Linked DNA regions of Rattus norvegicus. The protein of the gene in region 2 purifies or fractionates together with the protein of the main gene of each other region. This does not show direct contact. Links are inferred from orthologs where the notes say so. Each region holds a gene or a part of one and is shown on either strand. Other genes may lie near its edges.

Region 1 (4,393 bases), on a different chromosome or scaffold from region 2:
TGGGTCACTGCTCCAGAAAAGGCAAGACCTGATGAGGTGCTAGCTAAGGGTGGAGAAATAAAATAGGTAGTGGAGGAGGAGTATCAGCTAAGGCCACGTGACCAGTTAGGATTATAATCAACATGAGTGTTTCTAATATATTTTGTGAATTATGTGTTTGTATAGATAGTCACAGTTTCCCCTCAATTTCTTTACCATACAACATAAGATCAATTAGGAGAATATCAGGGGGTTGGGGATTTAGCTCAGTGGTAGAGCGCTTGCCTAGGAAGCACAAGGCCCTGGGTTCGGTCCCCAGCTCCGAAAAAAAGAACCAAAAAAAAAAAAAAAAAAGGAGAATATCAGTAATTATTACATTTAAGTTGAGATACTAAAAGAGTATCCCTCAAGGTACACTGCCATCTGTTCTAAAATTTAAAATGTACAATTTGCAGCTATACAAGGGACAGTTATATCAAATTTGGAATAATTATGACTTGGTTATTTCTTTCATTTGGAAATTAAGCAAGACAGAAAAGATAGGAATGCATGTCAAGTAGAGCTAAGGAAAAACTCAGGAAATTACATTTGGTACCTGAGAGACACATGAAGTAGAGTAAGATCTGTAAATAGCAGGAAGCCACTGCAGTATTCATTCCCCTCTTTGAGGTGACTCTAATAACTTAGACTTTCTCCAATACCTGTCACATGCTGCAAGCATGTTTTAATAAAGGCCCGAAGTCAATAATATAATCCACTTCCACAAATAAGAGAGTAATTTACTTAGCTGTATCACCCAACATTATCCTTCCTAGGTTTCTCCAAGCTCTTACACCTTCCAGCATCGCCTAGGAACTTCATGTTTCACAGAACTTGAGTGTCCTCCTCTTGCTAGCATTACTCTTTACAATCACCTTTCTGTGTTCACATTTTTAAAACGTACTTGTGTGAGGATACTCGCTTGCCATGATGCGCATACCGGGCTAAGGGACAGCTCTGTGACTCAGCTCTCTCCTTCCACGCTTGCGTGGGTCTGGGGACCACACTTTCCCTCCTCATCACCACTTAGCCCTTCTCCACACTCTAAAATCCAGAGTTTGGCCGTTAACCGTACATACATTCACTGTACCATCCCAGCTTATTCTTCTATCCTCAAGAAGAAACTCTGGATTTAAGTAGGTGCCTTTAATTAATTATACTATCTTTTCAATTTCAAAGTCCTGAGCAAATTTCACCTCTATGAAGTCACCTCACCTTAAATCTAAATCAGTCCTCAATTCTTTCTTAGAATAGCTTAGAAATAAACGGGGCAGTAAAATATCTTTTAAAGTGTCTAGATATGTTTTCAATTAACACTTGTATCATTTGATGATATTATTAGGAAAATTAAAGCAAATTATAAAATAATGCATTTTAATTGAAAAAGAGAACACTTGGGGATCAGTGTCTTTTTCTTTAAGGCAGGGTCTTGCTACAGCTCAGTTTGGCTTGGAATCAAGGTCCTCTTTCCTTAGAGGATTAGGGGCGTGTATCTCTCCCGTCTAGCGCTACTTGGGTGTCTTTAAAGTATATGTTAAACAACTAGACTTAATTACAAAAAAACCCCAAAAAAACAGAATTAATGTAGAATGAAGGTAAATACACTTTGCACCCTGCGGAAGGAACAGTGATGATACAAATTCCCTCAAATAAAACCTCAATCTCTTTCCTTGGTAATTCCAGTTTTTTGGTTTTTTGTTTTTTTAAGTGCTACAGCATCAGATTCTGAGATTTCTACCCTTTCGATCTATTTTAAGGATTATTCCAAAGGCTGAAGGCCAGTTAGCTGACAGATGCAGGAGCTACAAAAACCTTAAATGGTGTACATGAATTTCGAGAAAGTAGTAGTCATGGCTATCTTCAGAAACTCAAGATAGTCTATATATTTTAACGTCGTTAATAAGAATTTTGCACTAGTATTACAGTCAACTAAAGTGACAAAACTATGTATGTGTGGGCTTGGGGGTGGTGGTGATTTAAACAATGCAAGCACTACTAAATGTCTAAATAAAATGCATCCTTTCATCCAACCCAGATCCTGACATTGGCCTTCCAATCCGAATGTCTTCTGGTTCAGAATGAGAAAAGGGAGTATCCCTTACCCCCACCCCCAAATTTCAATCTTTGACCGACCCTCCGCAGGTCAGGTTCCGAGCCCGAAAAGGGCAGGAGCTCGCCTACCTGGGCGCTGGTTCGATTAAGGTGGTAGTATCCAGGTAGTGGATCTTGTAGAACTCCAGCAAGGCCGGCAAATGGTCAAACTCCTGGTCCCCGATCTTAAAGCGGCGGTTGGGCAGGGAGTTGATGATGTAGTGCGAGACACGCGAGTTCTCGGACACGGACAGTACATAGTCCCCAGGGCAGGTAGATGAGTCCCGGACTAGGAACATGCCATGGCGCTGGCCCTGGAGACGGGTCTGCGCCTCCTGGCGAGACACTGGCCCCATGTACCAGGCAGAACGGTCTGAAGAATCAAACCTGGCGGAGGACATGGTGTTGGGCCCGGGGATGGGCGGCGTCTGCTGCTCTCGCTTGCTCTGGAAGCCTTTACCCGCTGTCGGCTTTGGGGTCGAGGAAGGGCCTCTTCTCGAACACTTCGAGGAACAATCAGAGGGCTTGGTCAGGACGTTCCTCTAGGCTCCGGGCCCCGCAGCATCCTCCGCCACCGCCCTCCTGCACAGGGCCGCCTCTCGGAGAGAGCCGGTCCGGGAACAGTGGGCAAAACCCCTGGGTCGAGGTGGGCGAAACAGAGCAGTAGCAGAGGCCGCCTCGGGCTTCTCAGCTGTCCGGAGTAGGATCCAGCGACTTCTGTCCTGGAAGCCGCCGGCTCCGCAGCCTCAAGAGCCCGCACGGTTCCTCGCCGTCACACGAAGCACCGCACTCCAACAACAGTCGCGCCTCCCGGACCGTCCTACCCTACCCGTTCCCAATAGCCACAGCAACAAAATGGCGGACGCGGGAGAAGCGACCGGGCACCTCCCCCTTGGTCCAGCGTACTCTATCTGCGCTTGCGCGGAGCTGGGCGCTACCCCCACCGCAGGGGCTCTTCCTTTGACGTCACTGGGCGCGGCCAATCAGGAGTGCGTTCGCGAGGGTTCCAGCCTAAGCCACTCGTGCGGGCTCCCGCGTTCCGGGAGGAGGCAGAGGGTCAAGCCCTTCCTGGATCGCAAAGCAGCCTCTGAGTGGCTGCTGCTGTAAGGCCTACCGGGCTTAGCAGGAAAACAACTGGACCCGAGAGGGAACAGCGTTTTGAAAACCTGTTTCTGGGAACAAAGCATAGCGTGATGGCTGGATGTCTGGACAGGGAGGCGTGGCCCTCAGGTGATTTTTAAGCCTGAAGGCCCTGATAAGTCAGGTGGCTTAGGAAGGGCATGACCTAGGCAGTGAGTTGACCATCAAATAGGTTACTGAATAACGCCTACCCTAAGTGATCCTACTTGGTACACGTGGAATGATGGTGAAGGTCAGTTTGACTAATGCTTTAAGACGAGGACAGTGTGATGATGGTGACTTGGCCACTTCAGGCTCTGAGATGTAGCAAGAGAAATGCAACACTTGTATCTGGCTTGCAGGTTTTGCCTGCTCCAGACCTTTGGTCTCTCTCCAAAAGTTCATTTCCTGCCATTCAGCCGTTCCAGCTGTGCCTTCCCAACATGTTTTCTCTCTCCAACAACACTAGGACCGATCTCTCTATCTATCTATCTTTCTTTCTTTCTTTCTTTCTTTCTTTCTTTCTTTATTTATTTATTTATTTATTTATCTATCAACCAATCAAGATAGGAATTCTCTGTGTGCCCCTGGCTATCCAGGAACTAACTATAAACCAGGCTGGCTTCAAATTCACATCTACTGGGCTCTGCCTTCCCTGTGCTTGAATTAAAGATGTGAGCCACCACTAACAGGACAGGATGAAATTTTATTACAACAGGAATACTGTCTTATTTTGCCCGCCTTAAAACCACATCTAGTCTTGAATGATCAGAAAATTGTTAAACGAATGACCATTGTGAAAAATCTACAAAAAACTGATGCTGGATTATTGGTCACAGCATTCCCAAATTAGATGAACAGGAAGGCATGTCCCAGACCAGTGATGGTGGCACTACCAGTAATCCCAACACTGGGGAGATGGCAGTAGGAGGACCATGAGTTCAAGGCCAGCTGAGCTATATGAGACCCAACTAAAATGGGGAGGAAGTTAGGGGAGAAGGAGGTCTCAGGGCTGAGGCAGACAGGAGAATTGCTACTTAGGTCCCTGTCACTAAAGTCTCATTCTGGCTGTTAGCATTTCCCATGCTTAGCAAACCCTAGCTGTAGGGTAATCATCGGTGGTTCCATCACAGTGGTAAGTAAGCAAAGGAAAAATGTCAAAGTC
Region 2 (4,311 bases):
AAACTGCAGGGATACACAGAGAATTAAATACAAGCACTGTTGTGATGTCAAAATTAAGTGCTCAGACAACTAGGTGACAGAATCACCTAGAGCCCTTTGTCACTTTGTCAACCTCTTAGGAATCATTTACTCCATGCCCTGCCTAGTTCTAGGCGTTAGGATACAACACGATGGGGGTGGGGTGGGGGGTGTAAAAATCTGTCTGCAGAGTATTTATAATGCTGGACAAAACAGACACGGAAAAAAAATAAATAAAGCACTGTGCTAGACTGCAGTAAGTACAATGATGGTCAGGTACGTCTAAGGGGAAGGAAGCAAGACACTGTCTGGGAAGAGATACTGAACAGAGGAAGTAGCAAGAACAAAGACTGCAAAGTGGGAAGATGCTTACTGTTAAGGAAAGCCTGCCGGCCAGCGTGGTTAGAGCAGAAGGGAGAGGGAGAGTGGTGGGTGAAGTTAGAGGTCTGGGTGAGGGGCTGGGGCTTCTGACAACTGAGTATTGCTTTCCTAGGCAGCAATGGTGGCCACAGGTGGAGAACAGGGAGGGAGGAGATCCCAGGTAATTAGAACACACCACACAGAAGAAAGGCTGTGGGACACAGAGGCTGGCTTAGCCCACAAGGAGTCCACATAATAAAGTGAGCTTGATTGTGAAAGGTAGGAGGTGAGGGTGGGCTGGGAAGCATTTAGCCTCTGACTTGTCTGTTGTGTTGTAGAAGTGTGAGCAGCAGGACGGGGAAGCACAGGTAAGAAGTGGGCAGTCGGGGCTGGGGATTTAGCTCAGTGGTAGAGCGCTTACCTAGGAAGCGCAAGGCCCTGGGTTCAGTCCCCAGCTCCGGGGGAAAAAAAAAAAAAAAGAAGCGGGCAGTCAGCTGTCCTTTTAACGTAAACATTGCTTTCCTAGGGAAGGATTCCTACTTCCAGGGAGCTGCTCTGGTTGTTACTCTGTGAAGAAAACCGTGGAGGTCTTGGCAACATCCTTGTGGGGGAAATATTCCCTTTAAATTTTCCTTAGTAGGGGGAAAAGGGGTAGGGTGGAACAAGAACTAGAATTTAGAGTATTGTATAATTACCATGAACGGAACTGAACTGGTCTAACTTACAGTGAATCATAAGACAAAGATGATTTAAAATGGGACCAAGAAGGCAAACAGGAGTTTCTTTTTTTAAAGAGCAAGCATTTCCTAAAATGGGTGATGAGCAAATAAACAAGTTTGTGCTAACGACCACTAATTTTATATTAGGAAGGGGATTCCCTTATAACTGAGTACTTTGCATCAAAGGCACTCAAGGCCAGAGTAAGGACCTTGCTCACTGTTGCACAGCTCTGTTTCTAGAACAGTGTCTGGTTGGGCCCAAGTGCCTGATCTTATGAGGTAAAAAGCCTACCCAGAGCCCTCCCCTCAGAATCAAACACCCCAAGGGACTACTACTAGCAAAAACTCACTCAAAAACAAGCAGAGAAAAGAGATGTTTTTCCTTGCATAGCACCTGTGCAAATCAACATACTTCAGTGGAATCAAGCGATTACTCATGAGACACTTAGGGCTCGATGCAGACTGCTGTTTGGAACGTACTGATACATAGGTCAAAATATCAAGCTGCTGCAAGAGGGAAATACGCTTTTTTCTTAATACCCATAAGGAACTGCACTAACTCTGCCCCTTTGGAACAAAGAACAAAAGCCACAAGGGAATATTGAACAGTGTCTTCCTCTGAACCCTTCAAAAACTTAGCCGATTTAAGAAATTGGTTTGCTTTGCTATGGCATTTTTTTAAATTGTTGTTTTTTTTGTTGTTGTTGTTGTGTAATGGCAGATTACATATTTATTATTTGTCTTAATATAAGAGACCAGTAAAAAGGATAGCAGCAATTATCCACTCATGATTATGGAATACTATAAATCCCAAAGAAAGGAATTTACTGGAGTCGGAAAACCCCATTAAGTCATACTCATTATTATCTTTTTTTTTTTTTTTCTTCGGAGCTGGGGACCGAACCCAGGGCCTTGCGTTTGCTAGGCAAGCGCTCTACCACTGAGCTAAATTCCCAACCCCTATACTCATTATTATCAACCAGATACAAATGCTTAAACTTCTGCCAGGTGAAAAACATCTTTCTTTGAATTTGTTTAAACTTAATTACACTTTGTTTATTTACTGGGGTTTTTTTTTTTGGGGGGAGGGGGGTGGAGGTCAGGCGACAACTTGCTTCCACCACCGGGAGAATCCGGGGACCGTTCTAGGGACCTAAGGCTTGGCTCTAAGGGCCTTTATATCCAGAGCCAGCTCACCGGGTCCTCAAAGACATCTTCCTACAGGCCGTCATGTTTACACACAAATCCTTTTACTCCAGAACCAGATTACTTAGAGTTACAATTTAGAGCTCGGTTCCACAGAGATTTTTAAAGTCAAGTTCACCCATAACAATAATTTAGAGTGCAAATGCCTAGATTTACAATATTCTTTCCTATCTACAGCCTTCCGCGGAGCATTTTTTTTTTTCTCCACGTTAACACCAGAACATCCTTCAGAGTAACTTCAATACCATAAGTACGCCTTAAAACCACAAAAAAGCTCAGCGGTGGTTTGGAAGGTGCGGTTAAGTCTGCCGGTCGGTAGCGTTAGAATCGATGGGGAACCCAGGGTGCTCGGAACGCAGCCGCGGGGTCCGGGCCACTTCCTGGCCGGACTCTGTGGTCCGGCGCATCCCGGGGACGCCCCAAGCTTGCAGGCCGGGCCTCACCTTGTACACGTCCCCGTAGGTGCCGCTGCCGACCCTCTGCACCAGTTCGTAGTCGTGCTGCGGGTTCCGTCTCAGGATGTCGGCGGCAGGCCTCAGAGGGGCCTCCATCTTCGCTGCGCCCAGCCCGGGGCTCTGCCTGTGGCACCCGTATCCCGCTAACGAGGGTGCGCGGCGCTTCCCAACATGGAGCCTCAGCCCGCAGCTGCGCCTGCACCGGCGAGAGCGAGCGCGGGGGCGTCACGGGGCGCGACCCCGGCAGCCTCCGGGCCTCCTTGGCCCCGCCAGGCCCCGCGCGGGCCGTACCGAAGAGGCTGTTCCTTCCTTGTTGAGCGCCGGGTCGGAGACCCGCGTCTTCTCCGAGACGGCCGTGCGCACAGTCGCTGCTGCCGCCGCACCACGTTCCCCACCCGCGGCTGCGTCACCGGGAGACACGTTCGCGGCCGGCGCGGATCGAGCCCGGCCCGCCCGAGAGCGCAGGCCGCGGGCCCAGAGTGCCGCCCTGAGGCCCGCCGAGTGCACGACACCCTCGCCGCCGCCGGCCCCGCCTCCTAGCTGCTTGCGGGGCGCCCAAGGCATTCGTGCGGCGTCTGACCCGCCCAGGCACGGCCAGGATTCGTCCAGTTGCCGGCAGGACTAGAGGAGGAGGGCCTGTGCGCAGGCCTCGGAAGCGGTGCCTCCTACTTCCATTCAGTCAAGGTAAACTGAGTCCGTCCGGGCAGGAGGTGGGGGAGTGCCGGGTTAACTAAACGCCGGCACACCCGACTGCACCGTCCTGTTCCACACACTGTTCCCGGTGGTACCAGTTCTGAGGCTGGACCGGGGTTTCCCGAGACATTTTTGAAAACCCCAATTCCTACGAAGTTCCTGTGGTTTCTGGGCATCGCCACAATATTGCATCTTTAATGGGACTAGGAGTTCTGGAGATGCTAAAGCCAAGCTAGGGACCTTTGCCTGAGTCTGGTTCCAAAGTAGGTGATCTGGGACAAAGCGTCCTTGGCAACATCTGAGTGTCCTTATCAGTCCCTGGAAGAGGGTAGGTTTTGCATTTGACACCCGAGATGTTTGTAAACCATTTTATAGCATTGTAAAGAGGATTATAAACTGTAAGATGCCTAACCATGCCCAGAATATTGGGCAGGAGTTGTGAGAAGTGATTTGGTTAATGTTTTGGTCTGTTTTGTGATTTGAGTCCCAATCTTGTTCTTAACGTAGAAATGAAGTCACCAATTTTATGTATATAGGTAAAGTTATTTCTAGAGTCCTGCAGAGATTTTCAGTAGAAAAACTAGATAAGGACTGGAAAGATGGCTCAGTGGTTAACAACACTGGCTGTTCCTCAGAGGACCTGGGTTGATTGCCAACACCTGCATGGCAGCTCACTTCTGTTAACTCTAAGCAGGGGTCCAGAGTGGGCTGGAGGAGGTCTAGCACTCTCTTCTAGCCTGTGTAGGCACCAGGTATGCATATGGTGTACAGACATACATGCAGCCAAAACACAAAGTTAAATAAAAATTTAGGAGAAATTGAAAAAATAGATAAAATTACAACAGAACAAATTTCAGGTG

Evidence for each region.
Region 1: the proteins of Map4k5 (region 2) and Crkl purify together in Homo sapiens (affinity purification with western blotting; 3 studies listed by BioGRID and IntAct, with this or other methods). This does not show direct contact. The link is inferred for Rattus norvegicus from reciprocal best matches to the Homo sapiens genes MAP4K5 and CRKL.

Annotation. Positions count from the first base shown.
Region 1 is NC_086029.1:97,064,466-97,068,858, forward strand, and holds the start of Crkl (crk-like protein), read right to left. Parts: upstream 2,993-4,393; 5' UTR 2,511-2,992; coding exon 2,200-2,510; intron 1-2,199. UniProt on the Homo sapiens protein: May mediate the transduction of intracellular signals.
Region 2 is NC_086024.1:94,109,846-94,114,156, forward strand, and holds the start of Map4k5 (mitogen-activated protein kinase kinase kinase kinase 5), read right to left. Parts: upstream 3,099-4,311; 5' UTR 2,855-3,098; coding exon 2,747-2,854; intron 1-2,746. UniProt on the Homo sapiens protein: May play a role in the response to environmental stress. Appears to act upstream of the JUN N-terminal pathway.